Bombyx mori: one gene and its partner. The protein of the gene in region 2 interacts with the protein of the main gene of each other region in a biochemical or structural test. Links are inferred from orthologs where the notes say so. Each region holds a gene or a part of one and is shown on either strand. Other genes may lie near its edges.

Region 1 (11,563 bases), on a different chromosome or scaffold from region 2:
CATAGATTTCGCAAAGTTTATAAAAAAATAACCATAACAGAAATTATGGTTTAAAATCTAAACTGCATACGTTACTAATCTCCAAATAAAACTCACTTTGAACTAGTAGAACACTGTACACTCGGTACGGTACGTTCTAGCTATCATTACTTATTTTTGCTCATGTTACGATTTTTTGTGTACGGCAGTGACTACATGATTCAAGGGAAATAAAATTTATCACAAATTTACGTTACTAATTTGAGTTATTGTAAGTTGTAAATAATATTTATAATTGGAAGACAAAATCAAATGAAACTACATGTTGAATAGTTAAAGAAAACATCACTATATTGCACTCAGAGAATGTACTTGTTTATTTACAGTTTTATACCTTTTCGAGCAATGATTTTACACAATGTGCAGACAAATTTGGTTTAGAGCAATTATTTTTCTACCGTTCCTACTTTCAATTTGTAGTAACTTACTTAAAGTTGCAAAATTAACGCAGTAGGAATCGAAAAGTCTGATAAACTCGTTTCTACAGTATGCTTCCTGCGTTTTTAGTAATTGTTTTCAATCAGTCAGTTTTACCAAATATATACGAGTGTTGTATTTAGATATAAGACAAATAATTCCTTTTGTAAAGAATATTTATAGATTATTCTATTTAAACTGAACATCAAAATTTGACACCGGGCAGTTAGTTCTTTTTCTGAACGAACGCCTCAAATGTTACTATTGAATTCTCTTATATCTAAATATAACTGAGCACAAAGTACAATGGATGTATGGGTAGGCCTTAAACGTTATTTATTACATAACTTAACGTTACATATTTAAAAATTGCGAGAAAAGTTACGAGTTCATCGGCCCACTTATCAACCTGCTTAGCCTAAAATTTAAATAATTTACATTAATATGAATGTTAACCTGTATGCTTACAAAATCATTTTATCTTTTTATTTATTTATTAATTAATATAAAGATTCGCTTTCAAAATCGCGAATGTGTAGTCGAAGTTCACGCTCACGCCTCAAGTCCTGCCGTACTGATCATCTGCAGAGGCGTCCTTATACTTTCATTGTCACAATTATGTCTGTGTAAGGTACATTCTGCGACACAGAACATACTGGTCACAAATACCAACGTGCTTTTAGAGAGATGTTATCAGCGTGAAGTCAGCGGTATCTCTCCTCACCGCCATTCCGAAATTGCTGCCACTGCATTACTGGGCTGGCCGGCTGTCGCAGCGGCTAAAAAAGAAAATTATTATAGAAATAAGGGCTGGACGTATTCCTAAGGATGATAAAATATTTCCAATGACGCGGAACACACAAGAATAATAATCTTGAAAACCTAAGCTAAAGATACTACATTTTTTTCTAAATTTTGTGGGAAAAACAACTAAATGATCAATGAGAACAAAAACCAATATATACATTTTAAGAATTATATATACAAGATCTGATTTCAAGAAATATTAATACTTACTATTTTCTTGTTCCTGATTTTGTTCAAGACGTCTAAGAGCGCGATCAATACCACTTGTTTGATGGTTATCACGCAGTCCTCCTATAGAATAGTTATATAGTTAGAAAGTTATACGTTATACCTTAGAGTCTGTATTTGCTATAATACTGGATATCATTTCAAACAATTTTAACATTTATAACTACTAACTACATGTAATTAACTACTTCTATAATGTAAGAAAAACTGGTATTGTAAAAGACTCGTTTTAGAATATTGTAACGTCGTAACAAAATTCTAAAAATATAAAATTAATTAAAAAAATCATTACGCGCAAACAAACAAAATAACTACACTCGCGAGCAAAAGTTTGGAATCACTTACTTGAAATTGATTCCGCGCGATCTTGTGTACTAAATATTTTTTTGATAATCATAAAAATGAGATCATTTTAAAGGTTGAATTCCTAACTTTAAACTGATACCAAATTCATTAAAATCAAGCCAGTATTTAAGAAGTTATCTTGGATTAAGTGAAGGAATAACGAAAAAGACGTGTTTCAATTGCTTGATACGTCGCGAGTTGCGGCCTACTGACCCCTATAAAAGCACCTGTTATCGGATTTTCTTTATCAGTCGACTTTCACACGTTGACTGGTACATATCTCGGCTACTTTTGACCCTTTACCTTGTACGACAATTGGGACAACACCTACAGAAGTAGCACAAATCGTAGCCCTATTGCAAGAAGAGCTCAGCCAGCGGATTGTCGCTCGTCGGCTCCAAATAAGCCATTCCTGTGTTTCAAAAGTTTGCAAGCGCTTTCAAGAGACTGGTAGCTTTATCCCGAGACCAAGATCTGGACGGCGCCGGGGCACATCGGAGAGGAATGACCGTTTTATCGTGTTAACCTCTCTCCGAAATCGGCATTAACCTGGTGTCGACGTCCAACAGGAGCTCCGAGATGTTCGTAGGGTAGCAGCTAGCAAGTAGACAGTTCGTCGACGACTCAAGCAAGCGAATCTGACTCCAAAAAGGCCTGTCACAGGCCCGAAACTCACGGTAGCTCATCGACAAGCACGCCTTCAATTTGCTCGTACCAATCTTAATTGAGAGGTTGAGCAATGGAGGCAAATCCTGTTCTCCGACGAGAGCAGGATGTGTTTGCATGGTAGCGACCGAAGAGGTTGGGTCTACAGGCGGCCTGGGAAGCGATTTGCGCAGTGCTGTTTCGCTGAAACAGTGGCTTATGGGGTCGGCTCTTGTATGATGTGGGCCGGCATTTCCTTCGACGGTAAAACCGAGCTTGTTTTCGTGCCTGGCGGGGGACGAGGAGGCGGTCAACTTCGGACCGGTACATTTCCAATATTCTGCTGGAACATGTCGTTCCCTATGCGGGATATGCCGGTGATAGCTTCCTCCTTAAGCACGATAACGCTCGTTGTCACACTGCCCGTGGAACAACTGAATACTTCGAAGAAGTCTATATCGCCACATTGGACTGGCCTGCGCTCAGCCCTGACTTGAATCCTATTCAGCACGTGTGGGATGAACTGAAGAATAGGGTTCGTTCCAGAACTTCTGCTCCTTCATGCCTGAATGAGCTGAAATCGGCGTTGATTGAGAAGTGGGAAGGTATCCCACAAGAATCAATTCAAAAGCTGATCAGGTCTATGAAGAATCGTCTTCGAGGAGTTATTAGGGCAAGGGAAGGGAACACAAAGTACTGACATTTAATTTTAAGGCTAAATAAAATTTTTATTTATTAATTTTTGTTGTTTTATGCATTCATTATTTTTCCATATTTCCTTTGTTTCCTACCTCCTTCACTTAATCCGGAATAGCTCCTTAACTACTGGCTCGATTTGAATGAATTTGGTATCAGTTTAAAGTTAAGAGTTCAACCTTTAAAATGATCTCATTTTTATGATTATCAAAAAAATATTTAGTACACAAGATCGCGCGGAATCAATTTCAAGTAAGTGATTCCAAACTTTTGCTCGCGAGTGTAGTTTCTACAATGAATGAAAACCGCGCCCTTTAACTAGTGGCCATATAAGGAATTCGTTGGTACCGGAAATCAAATTCCTTCTAGAACATCGGATAACAAACGCCCACAACGTAAGTGCCTAGAAATATCGAAAAAAAAAAAGCGAACAAGGGTTGACCCGTTGCTTGTGAATGATTCCATTTCGCTCGACTCGACTATTGCTATCTAAGTACCACAGGAGTTTTCTGGAATATAGACAATAATTTAGGGCGTGACTTGCTTCGGTTGAGCCGTTCTTTCCATATTTCTATCTCGTCTTATACGAAAGATCTAGAAGTCCGCTCAGTGCGCATTGTCGCCACAGGGAAGGAAGTAGGCCGTTCCGATACAAACATAATATAAAAACGAATTCGCGCAGGAGGAAGGGATTTCGACGCCAGAGAGTTCGCACGACAATTATAAGTGATCCGTATTGGCGATTATTTGATCTCATTTTAAAAAGTAGTACAATCAGTGCTACACTAAAATAAACACGAAAATTAAAAACGGATTCTTCAACCCCCTTGTAAATTGAGGGTCCACCGTAAAGATTGCGAAATACGGGCTGAACGTCCAAGTACGGATTGTAGACGTTCAGGCAACACCTCCGAGTTCCCCATTAGGCAGTGGAAACTTCCTCAGCGAAGACCCCCACGTGTCACGGGATCTAACGGTCCAAAGATAAGTTCCCAGTGCACATAGATCTTTTTTGAAGACCAAAAATCTTCCCTGTGCCGCGAATCCACTCCCCGCAAGTAGTCATCACTAGAGTATTTCTTTTAATTCAATTAATAACTTTTTTTGAGATAAATTAATTAATATTTTTTTTATATATCTTGTAATAAACAGTTATAACTTTGTAGTTGAGTTTATATTTGTATCCACCGTCAGGCGGTCATAACAATATGCTAACATTTTTAATAAAGTTTTCCTTACAATATTATTATATTTTTAGCTAAGCCACCTGTGTAAATGCAGCTTAAATTTTTTATCTGACATTTTGTAATCTTGGTATACTTTTTAATTATTTCTTTATTGCTTAGCAAGGTATGCGAGCTCAGAACCTACCTGGTGTAAGTGAACCTTGATCCAAGTCAGACGTAATTTTATTGTATAAAGGCTGTCCAAGCCTTCAAGCCATAATGCACGAATGCGCCGCGACGGAAATGTGCAGGACTGTGGTATCTACTCTTATGGACTTATAATACGCACTACTACCATTTAATATCGTTTGGCGATCGCAGTACGGTGATGAATTCTCAGAGAACGCTGCTGGAGGTTGAATTGGAGAATGTTTCCAAATTAACCCTTAGTCGTCATTTATGCCACGTGAGGATCGAGATGGGGTGGTCTATTGAAAAGCCGTCATAACACAGCGAAAGTATAAAAGTACATACCAAACTTTAACATGTTCCAATCAAACACGTAGTCATATGTAAATCCTTGCCGGTGGAAGAGGGTGCGAAACAACTGACGCAGATGGGCGTAGTCGGGTCTCTCCTCGAAACGAAGTCGCCGGCAGTACTTCAAATACAGTTGAAACTCAATTGGATGGTTCTTTAAATAAAAAAATAAAAAATGAGACTCACAAATCAATGCACAATTCTTCACCTCACATCACAATAGTATATTAAGTATATTAAAGTACATTAAAATAATTACATTTTTTTATTAGACTTTATTGATGAACGAATTCTAAGTCCCTTCTGTTACCAGAGCCATTAAAACTGCCACACACCCTGACTTGGGATTAAATTTTCAATTGTATTGTATAACAGCTATCCCACCCTTCAAACTGAAATGTGTCTGTTTTATGGCAAATTGGGTATGCTGGAATCTACTCATGCAGTTTTACCTACTGTAACAATTTTGACTGTAAATGACCTCTATTTATAATTTTGGCTAGCGTTTATTGTACAACATCATTGAAAAATTAAGACCAGTCTTAATTATGGCTTTAGTTTCGTAGCTTAACAATTGTTTTCGCAGGACATAAGGTAAAATTGTAAAAGTGAATTAAAGTAAACAGTATACTATTAGGAAAACAGTTGCCCCATCCGTTTTTAATTATGGTACATAAAAGTAAAAGAAAGGGTGTTATTTTAACAGTATATGTCAAAATTAGAACTAACTCAGTGAATGATGCAAATAATTCTTTATTATAAATATTATTCCCTTTTGTACTCTGGGAACCATTCCTTGTACTTATGTACCATAAACAATATTTTACAGTTTCGTTTCTCAATAAAAAAAATAGGATTAAGAATAATATAGCAAGTTATATTCATTAGCCGTCGTTAATACGTCATCGTAATTAAAAGTCGTCGCGGCCTAAATGATAAGACGTTCGATGCATTCGTGTTGAGCGATGCACCGGTGTTCGAATCTCAGGTGGGTACCAATTTTTCTAATGAAATACGTACTCAACAAATGTTCACGATTGACTTCCACAGTGAAGGAATAACATCGTGTAATAAAAATCAAACCCGCAAAATTATAATTTGCGTAATTATTGATGGTAGGACCTCTTGTGAGTCCGCGCGGGTAGGTATCACCACCCTGCCTATTTTATGCCGTGAAGCAGTAATGCGTTTCGGTTTGAAGGGTGGAGCAGCCGTTGTAACTATACTTGAGACCTTAGAACTTATATCTCAAGGTGGGTGGCGCATTTACGTTGTAGATGTCTATGGGCTCCAGTAACCACTTAACACCAGGTGGGCTGTGAGCTCGTCCACCCACCTAAGCGATAAAAAAAAAATTAACCACAGAGTGAAACCTTATAAGCATTTCAATTTCAGCTTTCATGAATATAATACATGATATGAATATATGATACACGACATGATGATAAAGTATACATTCTTACCTTACAAAGCTCATCAAAAGGAGTGGACAGTTTCTTTTCAGATATTCTTTCATATTTTTGACGTTTTGTTGCTGCTTTTAGCCCCTGCCATGGTAAACTACCACGGTTAAAGTACATGAGCACATAGCCCAGTGACTCTAGATCATCTCGACGTGACTGCTCAATTCCTAAATGTGTATTTATTGAAGCATATCTTGCTGTTCCTGAAATAATTCATTTAAGGAAAAAAAAATTAAATAATATATATATTTGCTTCTGGAAATATAGACATTAGTACATTCAATAAAAAGGACATGAGATAGAGTATTGAATATACATCAATGCTAGTTATACATAAAATAATATGAAAGGATAGCTTCAAAATTATATTCGTAACAATTATGTGTTTTGATAGGCAGCGGCTTGGCTCTGCCTGCCCCTGGTGGGCGACGGTAACCACTCACCATCAGGTATGCTTTTCTGCCTACAAGGGCAATAAAAAAAAAACTAATTAGTATATAGTGGCATATTCTACAGTAAAGATGGACTCATGTCTCAAGAAGGAGGCATTCACATCAATCAATTCCAATAATTACTTGACTTCATTCAGCATTTATATAATTTATATTCAGTGTAATTTTACTCACATTTGAATTACATACTTGTTTACTGTATTGAATAATATTATCAATACTATAAATCAATAGCTCATATCAGATAATGGTACTGTAAGGAACAGAATTCTATTTATATTTTATGCAATTTAGATGACATGTTTTGTAGCAATTCCTTTTTATAAGTAGGATCTATAACTTTATTATACAGTGATAAAAACATGCACTGCACAATTATATGAATTAAATTACAATCAGTTTGTTAGTTAAATATAGAGGTCATATAAGTTTTTAGGATCCCTAATGCTGTATGTATGCTGTATGTTCTTTGATATTGCCAATTTCCAACCAATAACAATAATAATGTTATTATTTATTCCATAACTATATCTAACTATTGATGATTTGTTTTGAATGATGAGATAAAAGGTTGTGCACCTATCGGTAAAAATATCATAGAAACTGCAATAGAAAACAATTTTATTTAAAATTTTGTTGAGGATTATGTTAAAATAACTGTGTTAAAGGAAGACTGTAACTAAAATTTTTCCTTAAAGGGTTATTTATCACATAATAAATGACAGCATGAATTATAGTATAACACAATAAGTGATCAAAATAATTATTGAATCACACAACAATAAATTAAAAATGCATACCTGTCAAATTTTTGTTTTCTCTGTAAGGTATATGTTGATTAGTCCGAGGATCTTTGTACTTCTTAGCTAAGCCAAAATCTATTATATACACTAAATTTCCTTTTTTACCTAGGCCCATTAGAAAATTGTCAGGTTTGATGTCTCTGTAAATAGAATTTTATTTGTACACATTACCTGTAAAACACACAGTACCTTATATTATGTAATCTATACTAGATTACACAGAGAATAACAGAGTTCAAGAGCAATCTCTTTCTTGATTTATATTGTAGGTCTCTATAATTACTTTTAAATCATTTGACTTCTAAATGTTTTGTAATTGTTTTGACTTTTTCAATAATCTTTATAAATTAAAAAAAAAAAACTTAAAGAGAAATTAAGATAACAAAAAATTATAAATGTAAACTGGTACTCCTTTTTATTTTAACTCTGCAAATTGACCCAAAGTACAACACTATCTCATAATTCTAATGACAAAGCAAACAGAATGAATGATTTCAGTGTTTATCATATGCAAATACAAAATTTGTCATAGAAACTACAATCAAATCAGTTGTAATCTAACTTTGACATGTTTATAGACTATTTTAACCCTTGATTTATTAATTTCTATTACCTTAGAATTAAAACTCATTGTATTGTTGACTTTGAGAAAGAACTTGTATGATTGGACTAAGAGATTTTATGGGCTATTTTCTAAACATATCATAGCACTATTTTATTGTTTCACAAAATAATGGATTTTTTTAGAAACTCTAGTTCATCATCACCCAACATGCACTTGTAAATTCACAAAGGATAAACTTCCTACAAGGAAGAGTATATTTATACATAGCCTGGCAAATATATTTTATTTAGGGTTCAGAAATGTTCCCAATTCTTATCTTACTATTTGAGGAGCTAGGTATTTAATTTCAAGACTTTTTGACTGTAGTAATCGATTGTAATAGAATTATTTATGTCACTGTTTGGAAACGAAGAAAAATTGCCTAAAATGTTGATTTTTGTCCTTGGTAGGCAATTGCCCTTAATAATATGTGATGAATGGCTATGGTGGCCATATTTAAAATTAATAAAACCAAATTCAGGCATATTTGCATATATGAACATAACATTATGTATTCAAAACAATTTCCATTGCTGCACTAGGAGATATTTAAATATTTCATCAATGCAATCTGCGCTAAAATAACTACTGCTCCTACTAAAATTGTGGATAGGATAAACAGCAAAATACCAATAGTAGCTGCAGTTACTAGAAGTAATTTAATTTTGATTTATAGAATCCCATCTTACTAAATGTGATTAATCACAGCAAGATTCGGCTACCCACCTAGTTTTATGTATGGCTCAAAAACCAAGCAAAGCACAAGATGAGCATTTTTCTGAAAGCTATATGTTTATCTATATGGTTATGAAAACTATATGAGCCACTAGATGGCTACAACAGTGTGCAAAGTAATGCATGAGAATCCTAGATGCTAAACAAATAAAATGTTACAAAATAAGAATACACTAGCAGTCCTAGAGGCAATGGATTACATCAGCCATGTATGTCACTTATCAAACAACATCAGCCACTATGTTAGGTACATAACTTAAAAAATATTACTTTTTAGTGGATTAAAGGACCTAGTGAATCGAGATAATGATGTGGCTGATGATGACTCACAGGGCTTTTGAGTAACGGAAAAGGGCCATAGCCCACTCTATTCCCCTTATATAAGAGAGCAATATTGAGATGTAGCTGGTGCAATCACTGGACACAAGCCTTACATAAAAAATTGTTCAAAATAGACATTACAGAAATTTCACTGTGTAAGGCCTGTATGGAGACTCAGAGTTCACATGGAGTACACGAGTCTTCACACTTCAGGTTACCAAAATTACACAATCACCAAAAGCAGCAGGTTGACTTACTAAGAGTTGTAAGATCACTCACCCACAAACAAAATGGGCACAATTTAGGAACTTCTATTAAAAAATGTTATTTTAAATTTAGGTTTTACTTTCTTTAAATTTGTATTTTAAATTTGATACAATAACATTGCTTATTTCTTTAAGAAATAATTTTAAATAATTTAATAAATAATGCATATTTTCTGTATACAATAAGAGATGCTTTCTGCACACACTAAAAGGATAACTTTATGTTTTACTAGTTTTATTTTTGAGATTCAAATATGGCCTATGAAATGAACACAATCTAATTTGAAAGTTAATGCCAAATTATCACCAAGCTGTATTTTTGTAAAATAATGATAATAATTTTGATTAAATTAATATTTTTCTCTGTTTAAGAAACTAAAACTCACCTATGGATAAAATTTCTGTAGTGTATGTCCTCAATGCGGGAAATTAGTTGGTCTGCTAGAAGGAGTACTGTCTTGAGAGAAAAACGACGTGAGCAAAAATTGAAGAGATCTTCCAATGACGGACCTAGCAGTTCCATTACCATTACATTGTAGTCACCCTCTGACCCACACCATTTAATTGCAGGAATTCCAACTGAAAGTATTAATAAAAATTTAAAACAAAATTAACAAGTTTTATCTTTTTTTAAGTTAATACCAAAAATAACACTACTTCTACTACTTTTAATGACGAGCAAAGCTCTGTGCAAATTATCTATCCAAAAACTTTATACATATTCATTTAAATGAATGATCCAGTTTTAAGCAGGGTTTTGGAATTATGGTTATATGGCATAAGTTGGAAACTTGACAGATATAAAACTAATAACTGAGCTATTCGATCTATAGTTTATTGCATAGGTCTTTAAAAGAAACACTTTTGTGATTTGAAAATTACTTTATCAGCTCAACCATATCAAGAAAATTTCTTACCTCTTCCTTGCATTAGTTTGTAAAATTTGCTTTCTATGTGTAACTGTGGATGTCTCGTTTTGATACATTCTAACTTAATGGCTACTTCTTCCCTTGTGACAATGTTTGTTCCTAAAAACCATTTTTATTCACATTGATTGATAATATAAATAACAACACCCATAAAATAGAATCAATAATTATTTACTGCTTAATGTTAATATTGGGACATGTTAAAAGGGCACAATGTACCATTTCATAACACAAATGATACATACATACCATTCATTAATAAGACAGTATATAACAGAAGCATAATTATCGAATTACAACCAGGTAATTTTAATATATACTGTTACTCAAAAGTAATACGAAAACAAGCGTCTAACCAACATCTTGGAAACCGTTCGTGGCGACTACTGTTAATTAAGTCTTCAGAGAGACATCTACGTTATGAAGTCAGTAATCACATGCAATCAATGTCCATAAATATTTAGTTCTGTATTCAGACTTTCAATGGAAAAAAAATTAAGAAGTCCATAGTTCAAATTATTCATGTTCAACATTATTTAACTTATGTAGAAACGAAGATTAGGCGCAGCTGGCCCGAGCAGCAATTTACGATTTTCTTTGTTTACAATTAACCCTCCAATTACTTACCTAAATATATATCTCCAAAAGATCCGGAGCCAATTTTTCGCCCAAGTCGGTATTTGTTACCGACACGAAGCTCCATTTTAATATTAGCAGAGAGATAGAACCACAAATAATATTACTGACCACCAATTCATTACAGGACGGCCATATTGCGATAGACGCACAAGTTAACTAGTAAAATTAAATTGAACATGAATTCTGATGTAATTTTGTTTGTATCTGAGCTGTTGTAGAGATTATCTTAGTAAATTTTCTGTAAAAAAATCTATATTTTTAACTAAAATAAGTTGCAAATTGGACTTATCTACAGGCAGAAACACATGGACGAGGAACCAAATTTTTGTAAATTGAACAAAACTTAGATAGAACATAGAGCTGCTGCTGGAATGGGATCCACAGATTAAACAGATATGTATTACTGATTGAAGATTCCAATTTCCATTCAGGGTTTCTATGGCAACACCAACCTACACAGATTCAGAA
Region 2 (11,563 bases):
TTATTTAATCAAAATATCTACCATTATTATCTATACATTGCTGCCATCTAATAGGAAGGTCATTTATGCCGTGAGTCCGCGCGTGTAGGTACCACCGCCCTGCCTATTTCTGCAGTGAAGCAGTAATGCGTTTCGGTTTGAAGGGTGGGGCAGCCGTTGTAACTACATTGAGATCTTAGAACTTATATCTCAAAGTGGGTGGCGCATTTACGTTGTAGATGTCCTTGGGCTCCAGTAACCACTTAACACCAGGTGGGCTGTGAGCTCGTCCACCCATCTAAGCAATAAAAAAAAAAAAAAAAAACTGGTGATCTAGATTCTACAAACTGTGTGAAAGCATTATGTACTGCCTCCTGTACTTTTTATTACGTAGCAAATTGTCCAAATCACGAAATAAATGGTAGTCCGTTGGAGCAAGGTCTGGCGAATACGCAGGGTGACCAATGGTTTCTAATTGAAGTTCCTGTAGAGTTAAAACGGTTCTCGTGCTATATGAGGTCTCGCGTTATCATGGAGCAATAATGGTGAGGACCGATTAATGTGTCGAGGCTGTTTCACTGCAAGTTTTGCTTTCATTGTTCAGAGTTCGGCACAGTAGACATCTGCCGTTATTGTTCGACCAGATCGGAGAAAGCTATAGTGAATAACACCATGCTGAAACCACCAAACAGTTACCATTACCTTTTTATTTTTGCGGCGTTTGACCTGGGGTCAGTTATTGCATTTTTCGCTTACGTTTATCGTAAAGAATCCACTTTTCATCACATGTCACAATTCGATACAATATTCCTTCATTTCTGTATCGATTCAACAAGGCAACACAAGTTTCAACACGCGTTTCTTTCTGCAGATCAGTCAAATCATGAGGCACCCATTTTTCATATTTTTTGTTATATTTTATTGATTTGACGCAAATGAGTCAATATTGTTGGCAAGGTAACGTTAAACTATGCCACCATTTTCCGCCATCTCTTTCAATACGTTGTTATTCACATGTGTGGGCGGTCTTCCACGTGGCTTGTTCTTCAAATCAAAATTTCCATCATGAAAGCGTATAAACCAAAACCGCACGGTGCGTTCATTAGCAGTCCTCTCCAAACGTAACACTGATATTGCGAGCTGTTTCTGCAGCGTTAGTTCCGCGTCGGAACACGTATTAAAAATCACTCGAATTTTCGAAGTATCCATATTTCTTGTCTAACCTGAATAAAAAAAATACAACTGAAAGTCGTTAATCCAATGTTGCACATTTTTTAAAAGAAGTACCTCATACCAGGTACCATTTGAAAAAAGTTTCACTCAAAAATCTCAAACCATGAAGGTTCTATGTTAATTCGAAGTACCTATTACAATTAAACGGCAATTTCATACTTTAACCTCTATTATTAATTTCTAAACTACATTGACGACTGATTGCTTTTGAATCGTTGATAGCATTGAACATTGGTTAATTGTTTGGTTAGAGATTTGTGTGGTCCGAAATTAAAGGGGGGTGTCAATAAATCGTTAATTGTTTAACTCATAAACTGTAACATATACTAACAGTTAGTTAAGAACTCATCTGCTTTGTCGCAGCTTCTATCTAATTTTCGTGACGTTATAGTTCCGTAACAGATTGTAAGTAGTTGATTTTTCTCTTAGGTTCCGAAACGTCGGCACATTTGTAATTAAACAATTATTATCGTTACAGAGGGTACGGGAAGGTCGAGTATTTGCGACTCAGTGTTTTATTCAATATAATATTAGACATGTTATTTAGGTACATCGCTTATGAAAAGGTAATGTGATCGTGATTGTGTCAGGACTGAATGGTATGTATAATGAGATTTGAACGGTTAGTTCATAATATTAAATATGTATAATATTCTTCAATAATGATTGAATAAAAACATATGGTTCATTCATAACACATATAACTTCTCATAATATGATTTAAAATAAATCAATTTGAAATGAATTGGAATTTCGAAATTTTAAAGCCTATTTGGTTTAAACAACTAAGTAACGTTGTACTTACCTCGACCGACTGTTGATGTGATATTAATGAATAAACTGTTGTTTTTGATAAGCATATGATAGTTTTATCCGTAAGAAGGTTGTTTCAAAATTAATTATAATCGAATATTTCGATAGGACACAATAATTTATAGTTTTCTTAATATTGAAATAAAAACCCTGTAATATTTTAGAACTGCATTCATTTCAATGTCGGCTTTTAAAAGTGATATAAAAACCAATCGAGTATATGACAATGGACGGCTACGAAGTTACGACACGTTTCCCAAGGATTGTGTTTGGAAATGAGATCACTATTGCCTGCACTTCCTACGCAGACAAAATAAGGAGAGTAAGGGAAGGTATCAAATAAGGAGGAGTACTGTTTCCTGGAATAACCTTGCGTCAGGATAAGGTGACTGCACATCTAACCGAAGCTATGGTGCCATACGTGAAGAACATATAACTCGGCCTGTTCTTACCCTACCGTCGGCTTAAGAAGCAACCCAGAGGAAATAAATTTGAAAACAATGGCGAGCTTTCTCTAGAAGCTTTTTCAAAAATCAATTCGTACGCAAGTGAACTGATGGTCTAAGTGAAATTATCGAAATATAAAGTAAATTATAATATCTAAAAAATATGTTTCAAGTCGATTATTATTAATTTTGAATCACCCTGTGTATGAAAGTATGGGATTATGTTTAGTTTTTACGAATTTTCTGACGTCTGAATGATTTGAAAGTTATTGCACTTTATGATCCGACTCGATGTATTTTAGAAGAAGAAAAAGAATATTTCTACAAATAGAGAGCCCCAGAGATTTACCCATATTATTAATTTTAATTCTGAAGGTATTATTGTAAATATTGTCCGGATTAAAAAGCAGCCCATATCACTCTTACTGTTCAGCATATATAAATAATCTATCTCACTTCAACAAGTAGTGTGTGTAGTGTAGTGTGAATTAGTATTGAAAATACTTACCTTGAAAACCAACTCCACGATAGAGATTCTCTGTCTCTGGCTACTAATTCTATTTAAAAATAAATTTCATCTTATTTAAATCGATCATTGTCGGATCTCATATCATAAACGAATACAGATAAGAATATAATAATTTAAATGACCACTAGGTAGTCATTTAACATTGACAATGTCAAATGATCACTAGGTAGTCATTGTCATGTTAAGCTTTTGATCTTGTTCTGTTTTCATATTTCAAAACATCTTAATTGTAATTTTCGTTTTAATTGTAAATTAATGTAATAAATAGGTATTTGAGTTTCATTCAGTAAAATGTGTGTTGTATAAAAATTAACAAAACTAATAAAATTATATCGATAAAAAAAATTAAGAAGTTTAGTACATATCTATAATATTTTTATTGTTAGACGGTATGCCTTAGGGGTGTTGTGTAGACAATGTTGATGTTAGAATAAACGATTGATGGTTACCGCATTGGTTCATGTTTATCTCCCTTTTTTATGTTTCCGCTGTGCAGTTACGAGCGCACCCTCTCCAGCGCATGTACAGGTCGAGAAGGGACCTGAGAATATGGATATAGCTTCAACAGACACTGAAGGCGACAAGGTAGAGGTAAGTTGACGATATAATAATATAATACATCCATCGATGCGAATGTTCTGAATTAGAAAATATTCCGACTACAAAATCAACAATTGCACACATCATCTTCATCTTGTGTCATTTAATTTTGTAAATGACCTTTACGTCACATTATTTATCCTCTCTTCCGCACAATAATTCTCTTTTATTATATAATTTCAGTTTTATGTTAATCTTTTTAATAAAAGAAAATATACTACTTATTTCTATACTGATACTATTCTATACTATTTCTACATTGTTTCGTTAAATTTCAAGAAATGTCATTGATAGAGTGTTTCAGTAAACAGTGGATCTTCGTTCTAATTAAGTTGGCCACCCCTGTTCTAGAATATTAGTTTAAAAGCTCGATGTCAGGTAAATCGATCGTGAATTTGAAATAATTAATTCTCCTTTTTTTAAATTTAAATTGCACGTAAGTCTTTTTCTAACAGTCGTTTTTATGATTATGATTACAACTTTTATTATTAAAGCAGGTTTCGATTTCCTAAGCAAATCTACACAGAACACTTAACGAAATCTTAGTCGTAGTTCGAAGGTGGGGCGGTGGCCTCGGTTACCACTCAACGCTAGGTTAGCCGTGGGTCTGCTAATCTACTGTAATAATAATAAGAATAATAATATAATAGACTTATTTTTTTAAATGTTTTTTTTTTAAATCTTTTTTTCAATGTTGTAAAACCAATAATATTTAAAATAAATATAGTATGTATGTATGAGAATAATAATAATACATAATATATAGGTAGTAATTACATTTTTATATTTCTACTTATAGTTTACATTTATTTACATAGGGTAATTGTACACAGGGATAGTGCCAATTCTCTTCTTTACTAGTCCTCCTCCTCCTTCAGTCGATCGCTCATTGCTCAGCATCGTGATGTGCTAAAAATAATGTAAAATACTTTGAACTACTAAAGCTAGTGACTTATTTTCTTACGCAGGTTTTATCGTGTGACCTGCAACCGCAGAACTCTACTGTCGATGTAGTTACGAGTCGTTCGAATCTAATCTGTTACACTGTAAGCAAACAATTTGTTTTTGTTTTTGTTTTTTCTTCTTCAATTTTTCGTCAAGACTGTGTATTTTTAAGATCTATAATATTATTTAAGGAAAGCGTACCTTTATAATGGTCACAAAGTAATTGCTTTAGCTCTGAACAAACTCTCAATAAATATGTGCTTGCAATGTATAGTGGACAAAAGTAAATGGCTAGTATCGGCTCGTGTAGCACGGGCTTAAGGCGACCTGTACAGTTTCTCGTCGGATCTTCTCAGTGGGTCGCGTTTTTGATCCCGTAGTAGATTCTGCGAAGCACTGCTCTTGATAGGGCCAGTGTCAGCAACACCTCCTTGCTTGAGCCCCGAGAGCTCACCTACACTCTAGGCTAACGCCGATGTAGCTTCTCAAGGCTATCAACATCGGTACAAAAAAAGCGACCTATAGTCATTTTGTGTTACGATATTTTCAAAGAATCGTAAAAACAACGAAGAAGCGTTCAAAACTAAACAAAGTTTTTGTTAATTTCTTATATTTTATTCTAACGTAGTAGTTCAGAAGGTGTATAATTGAGACCTTATATTTCTAAAGTCGATGTCGGCATTCACCTTGTAATGCCTTTGGGCTCCAGTAAACTATAGGGCTTGTACACATAACTGCGAATTCGCAACACACATAACCGCAACACGATTTCGCGCGGCAAGGATTTTCCTTTTCACAATTGACTTTCAATTCCACAATCCTTTAACAACGCAGGGATGCGCGATGCGAATCAGTTCGCAAGTTCTTGCGGTGCGTCGTGGGAGCTTGTAGATTTTTACGATGCGACGTCGCATCAAAGTTTTGTGTACAAGCCCTTACACCAGATGGGCCGATATCGTTCAGTCACACAGACAGTCACAGTGTCTGGAAGTCACTCGGATTCTGTTTAATTTTAATAGTTTATCATTAATAATGACTGCATGACGGCAACTTTTTTAAATTCTCGTATTTAAATTATTGTATTAAAAAGATTCTTGTTTCGATACTAATATACATTAATGAAATACAGGATGGATTTTCATGCGTTATATCGATGCACGATGGAATCGTAATGTACACGACATCATCGCTGACGGCTATACTCGGTTTCCCGAAGGACATGTGGATCGGGAGGTCATTTATCGATTTCGTTCATCCAAGGGTGAGTTTAAAATTTTATTAAATTTTTTCGAATAAATGCTACGTATCCTTTGTCGAAGAGTTTTAGACATATTTTTTTTAATTTTAATTTAATTCGCTTTTACACTGGCGACAAAAGGAATATAATAACGAAACGATATTTACAGGACCGTAGCACGTTCGCGTCACAGATAACCAGTGGTTTGGCCGTCCCGAAAACTGCAAACGGTACGCAAGAAAAAGGTAAAATCCTTATTAACGTTTATATCGGTGGTGCCGATGTTTGAGTTATGCGATTGCATGCTCCCTCCCGATCGCCGAGTTCGGATCGCTGTGCCAACGTAACATAGAGCTTCTCCATGTTCAATAACGAATGGATGTGTCTTTACATTCGAACACGATTCGATTCTTTATGGATCAACACTATGAATTATTTAAATTTCGAATTATTATGACACACTGTTTTTTTTTTTAACTGTATCTGTGTGTTACCGTGCTTAGTGTATGTAATCGTAAGTATTTTTGCGGTTTATTTAAAAATTAAACATGTTCTAACGATATCTATTTGTTGCCCTCAAAGTTTCTTATTTATTAATATATTTTAATATAGTTGGAAAAATACATTCTTACATTTCTCACTCTTGATTTCATTTCTACGGTTTCGATTGATCGACCTGTATTATGTACTTTTAGTATGGGGTGTTGTATTTTGCGGTAAGACCGTTTTTAGTTAAAAGTAAGAAAACTATGATCGATTAATTAATTGGCACCTGGATTAAAGTGGTGAAGGTGAAGAAACGAGCTAGTACTAAAAAAAAAAAAAGTACTTTTAGTAATTTTTATTTTATTAAATCATAGATATACTAAAAACTGCGGTGACCGACAGCATCGTTATAGTATATAAATATAAAGTTTTTTTGATAATTATCTTACTACATTACTTGTTGAGTTTGTTGCCATTGTCAATCAATTGAAAAAAAAATAGGATTGCGTTTTTAGAGGACGGAATTTTAGTTTTTTTGATGTGTAGAGGGTTTAGTATAAGCTTAAGTTCCAGTTTCTGGGGTCGCCACTCTTGCCATCCCGCCAAGACTTGGAAAAACGAGTGCAAAGGGTTTTTGCGCTGTATTTCGTAAACTAACAAACCCATAGAAAATTTAAAACAATTAGTTTCTGTAGGGTTGCTTGTTGATCTAGGGTTGCCACAAACTTCAACTTAAGCTTACACTAAACCTCCCTACACATAAAAAAATTAAATTGCGTCCTCTAAAAACGCACGCTAAAGCCCAAACAATTTAACATTTCAATGGACCAAGTATATTTTTTAATTATCTTTGTATTTGCCTGCGAAATTAACAAACAAAATTGATACGAGCTTGACTATTATGAGTTGGATCGAGACTCGCGCCTGAAAGTATTTTTCTTCTGAAGTTTAATTTAACTGTGAATTATTTTATGTTGTTTTTAAATTTTAGCTTAATAAGAATTAATCATTTCATTATTAGCTTTTTATGTTAGATTTAAATACATGTTACTTTTCAATCATTGTTATTAGATAGAAAGTATGATAGTTTTATTTGTATAGGACTATAAGGATTAGTTTAAGCGAATTATTACACGGGCTGGGGCTAAATATTAATTATAATCACAAACACAAAAAGGGTGAAGGACAAATGTTCACGATTGACTTCCACGGTGAAGGAATAACATCGTGTATAAAAATCAAACCCGCAAAATTATAATTTGCGTAATTACTGGTGGTAGGACCTGTTGTGAGTCCGCCCGGGTAGGTAGGTACCAACACCCTGCCTATTTCTGCCGTGAAGCTGTAATGCGTTTCGATAAATGTTTTAAAAAGTTTTCTTTAATATGAATTATTTCTTTCCGCGCAGCTCAATCGCCGGGTAATTCTGGATCGACTATGGTGTGTCGGATAAGACGTTACAGAGGTCTGAGCACGGGGTTCGGAGTTAAGGAAAGAGTGGTCACGTTCATGCCGTTCCTTTTGAAATTCACGTTCAAGAACATAAGCGATGAAGAGGGAAATGTCATCTACCTCGTCATACAGGCCACACCATTTTTTTCAGCGTTCAAAAGTTAGTGATAACCTTTTTTTTCTTTTTTCTTTTTGTTTGTATTATAAGAAAATTGAGTGCGTTCAAAAAGCGAGCAAATAGCGATTTGTACTAATAAAAATAAAAAAAAAACTTTAAGTAATGTCTGACTGTAACCTTGATAGTGTAACACGGATGGCAGCGGCTTGGCTCTGCCCCTGGCATTGCTGAAGTCCATGGGCGAAGGTAACTACTCACAGTCAGGTGGGCCGCATGCTCGTCTGCCTACAAGGGCAATAAAAGTAAAAACGATTTAAGGATTCACGGGAGCATCGGCAGCTGTGTTTTCTGAGTATTTTACCAGCGCACTGTGATCGTCAACCGGCGTTTACTGGTCGCAGGTTCAGTGATATAACAAATGAATTTAGATCTTCTAGCGTCAATAGTTAGGGTTGAAATTCGATCGGTGGGCATATAATAAATAAGTACTGCGCGCATTTAATTAATTCCCATACAAATATTTTCGTTATTATTAAACGAATATTATTTTTTTAATATTCATTTTTACAATAGTCAATTCACGACTTTGTTCCGCTTAAGTTAAAGTTGATTATCCAATACTAAAAAAATATCTGAAATCATTTCAAATCAAATCATTCAAATCAAATCATCAAATCATTCAAATTGAACCATATTCTTTCTAATGTCAAGGCATAAAAATAAAAGAAACGATCAAATTCAATTTTATATTTTCGCGTTAACGAATTTAAAGTTCGTTTTCGCTTGGCATGTAGAACCCGTACGGTCTAGTCGCGAAGCGGTCATTTATTCCGATCTGTAATAAATAGTGGGACGGCCATTATACATGGTTAGAACTACGATCTCATGCCTAAAGGCATGTGACGTCATTAACGCTCTGACGTCGGCGAGCTCCGGTAATCGCCTAACAGCAGGCTGGCCGTGAGCTCCTTCACCCTTAAGGGCAATAAAAAAAAAACTCAAGAGACAATTAGTATCTATTCAGGTAATGCTCGAATCAAGCCGATTTATTTGGACAGATGTCATTATCAGATTTTTGACCTTATAAGTATCAATCAGCCTGTGTCGTTTTTTTAAATTATTATCCGTTAATTCTTAGGGTTGCCAATCGAACAGAAAACGATCTCGCTCTGTTGATACCGTGTCCATTAGAGTTCTTGCCTCTTAATTGGACTTGTTTTATCGATACCGTGCTGTGTTGCGTAACATCACTATCGCATCGCGCAATACTTATTACGTCGTTCAGTGGACGACAATAGTCTAAGGACGCATTCAGTGTTCCATTTAAAATAGTTTCGTATTAGTGTTCATAATCATGTTAGTATTATTTTATTCTTCTAGCGTCGTTTGAAATATTACCGAAAGTTAATCCTTTCGTGATGCGTCACTCCGCGAATGGTAATCTCGAGTACTTAGACCCAGAATCTGTACCTTATCTCGGATATTTACCTCAAGATGTCCAAGACAAGGACGCATTGCAACTCTATCATCCGGAAGATTTGGAATACCTCCAGCAAGTATACGAGGTAATCGTTAAGGATGGTGGCATGCCGCGTTCCAAAACTTACAGGTAAATAAAAGAAACACAACACCGGTGTTATTAATAATTAAAGTATAAGTTCTAAATGTGATCAATGGTTAATGTAATTAGTCAGTGGTCGGTTAATTAGGTAGTATTATTTGATCAATGGGCATTGGCTTTCTTTTTTTATTTCTTTCATTTTAATAAAACCGTTTCGAAGAACGAATAGGCTTTTTTTATATTAAATTTTGTCATTTATTTTAGTTAAATATGACCTTTATTTGAAATGTCGTCGTGATTGGTTTTAAGAAACCCTATATATTATTTACTCTGTTGACGATTCAAATGACAGTCATATTATAAAACTATTGAAAACCTCCTAATAATTTTACTAATTTCAACCTACAACATGAAGGTAGTGATGATTCAAACACTGTTAACCCTTTGAGTGCGACTCGTCGTTATTTAGATTCTCTGTTAATCCGTTCAAAGTACGGAGCGTCGGAATAGCGACCATTTGCGCAGTATGATTATTGGTATTAGGTATTACGTTTTTAATAAACTAATAACATTTATAAATATCCATTTAAATTTATTTTAACAATAAATAAATAAAACATTGTGTCGAATACGTAAACAAATTCACTTCGGAAATATAATTTCAGAATGATGACACAAAACGGTGATTACATAAAAATCGAAACCGAATGGTCTTCGTTTATTAATCCTTGGTCGAAGAAGCTGGAATTCGTCATCGGGAAACATTACATCATTGAAGTGAGTGTCCACCATCGATCACTAGCTACCTCATTATCATCATCATAATGATCAGGCCACAAGAGTCCATTGCCGGATATTGGTCTCTCCCTTGAGCTCACTCTTCGGCTCTCCTCATCCATTTCTTGCCGGCCACTCTTCCAAGGACCAAGTCATTGCTCCACCTGGCGAAGGTCGTACCACATTACGTTTGCCGATACATTTCTATTGAGCTACGTTGATGAATACTTCTCAATCAAATAATCTTAGTCCAGATTCTATTCTTCAGAAAAGCCCCGAGCACGGGTCATTCGATAGTTTCCCAAGCGACTTTGAGCTCACGGACAAGCCGTACTGTGAGTGTTCACGTCTCTGCTTCGTAAGTCATAACCGGTAGGAAATATTGGTTGCAAACTTTCGTTTTCAGACAGTGTGGAATGGGCGACAAAAATACAACTTACATTGCCAAACGCTCCCCAGCTCAGCTGGAACTTCTTCTTAGGTCCCCTCTCCAAGTTGTTTTTACCCAACTGTAACGTCTGCTTGTAGGATATACATTCTTCAAGAGGATAGCCCTTTACGACGACTGGACCCGAACTAATGAGCATTGAACATAATTTGAGTTTTATTTATGTTCATCGGGAGTCCAATTCGGTGTGAACAGTCTGCTAAGCCGTTTATCATCTGCTGCAGATCGATTGCCACGATTCCACCATAAGGACAATGTCATCTGCAAACGGCAAATGTGAGACTCAATAAAGAATGGGCATAAATATTAAGGGCCAATCCCATTCTTTATTGAGTTCAGCGTCTAGAACATATATCCTCCGCCCAATATGCTAGTGAATAAGTTCGGGTAAATTTAATGTCCCTCCCTCATTCTCCTACACCATTAGATAGGATTAGACATTTAATTTTGTACTCGAACATTCATTTTGGCGGAGCTATAGAGGCATCTCAAGACTTGGACCTAGCGAAGGTTTATTTGGCAGTACGGTCCAGGGTTCGGTATAGTCGAAAGTCTTCTATTAGTCCACGAATGGCACAGCACAGGGGCCGATAATACTCTGTGGACTTTAGTATAATCTGTGGTATTGTGTGTATGTGGTCTAGGATATCATAACCACTCCGAAACCCGGTCGGTTAAAGAGGGTTGCAAATTCGTCTAACCTTTTTGTTACACAATTGTGATGTGATGACTTGTTGGAACAACTTATATATGTGGCTCAAAATGGAGATCGGTTTATAGTTATTCAGGAGTGCTTTTTGTTTTTTAAAAAGTAGACAATTATTCTATTTTTCTACGCCTTGGTCGGTCGATACCAACATTATATCAGATTTTACTACATTACTAATAGTTTGTAGGTACAAGACATTAATACAAAAGAAAGGATATAAAAACCAAACA

The links.
Region 1: of the proteins of Per (region 2) and dbt, one has a biochemical effect on the other in vitro, tested with the Drosophila melanogaster proteins (4 studies listed by BioGRID, with this or other methods). The link is inferred for Bombyx mori from reciprocal best matches to the Drosophila melanogaster genes per and dco.

Annotation. Positions count from the first base shown.
Region 1 is NC_085123.1:7,354,320-7,365,882, reverse strand, and holds dbt (double-time protein), read right to left. Parts: upstream 11,429-11,563; 5' UTR 11,160-11,428; coding exon 11,084-11,159; intron 10,556-11,083; coding exon 10,445-10,555; intron 10,107-10,444; coding exon 9,914-10,106; intron 7,742-9,913; coding exon 7,599-7,741; intron 6,550-7,598; coding exon 6,347-6,549; intron 5,038-6,346; coding exon 4,878-5,037; intron 1,555-4,877; coding exon 1,474-1,554; intron 1,236-1,473; coding exon 1,177-1,235; 3' UTR 307-1,176; downstream 1-306. UniProt on the Drosophila melanogaster protein: Serine/threonine-protein kinase which is involved in the circadian rhythm pathway, viability and planar cell polarity.
Region 2 is NC_085107.1:12,542,688-12,554,250, reverse strand, and holds part of Per (period), read left to right. Parts: intron 1-3,496; coding exon 3,497-3,591; intron 3,592-4,568; coding exon 4,569-4,646; intron 4,647-5,674; coding exon 5,675-5,806; intron 5,807-5,951; coding exon 5,952-6,027; intron 6,028-7,676; coding exon 7,677-7,880; intron 7,881-9,218; coding exon 9,219-9,447; intron 9,448-10,064; coding exon 10,065-10,176; intron 10,177-11,563. UniProt on the Drosophila melanogaster protein: Essential for biological clock functions. Determines the period length of circadian and ultradian rhythms; an increase in PER dosage leads to shortened circadian rhythms and a decrease leads to lengthened circadian rhythms.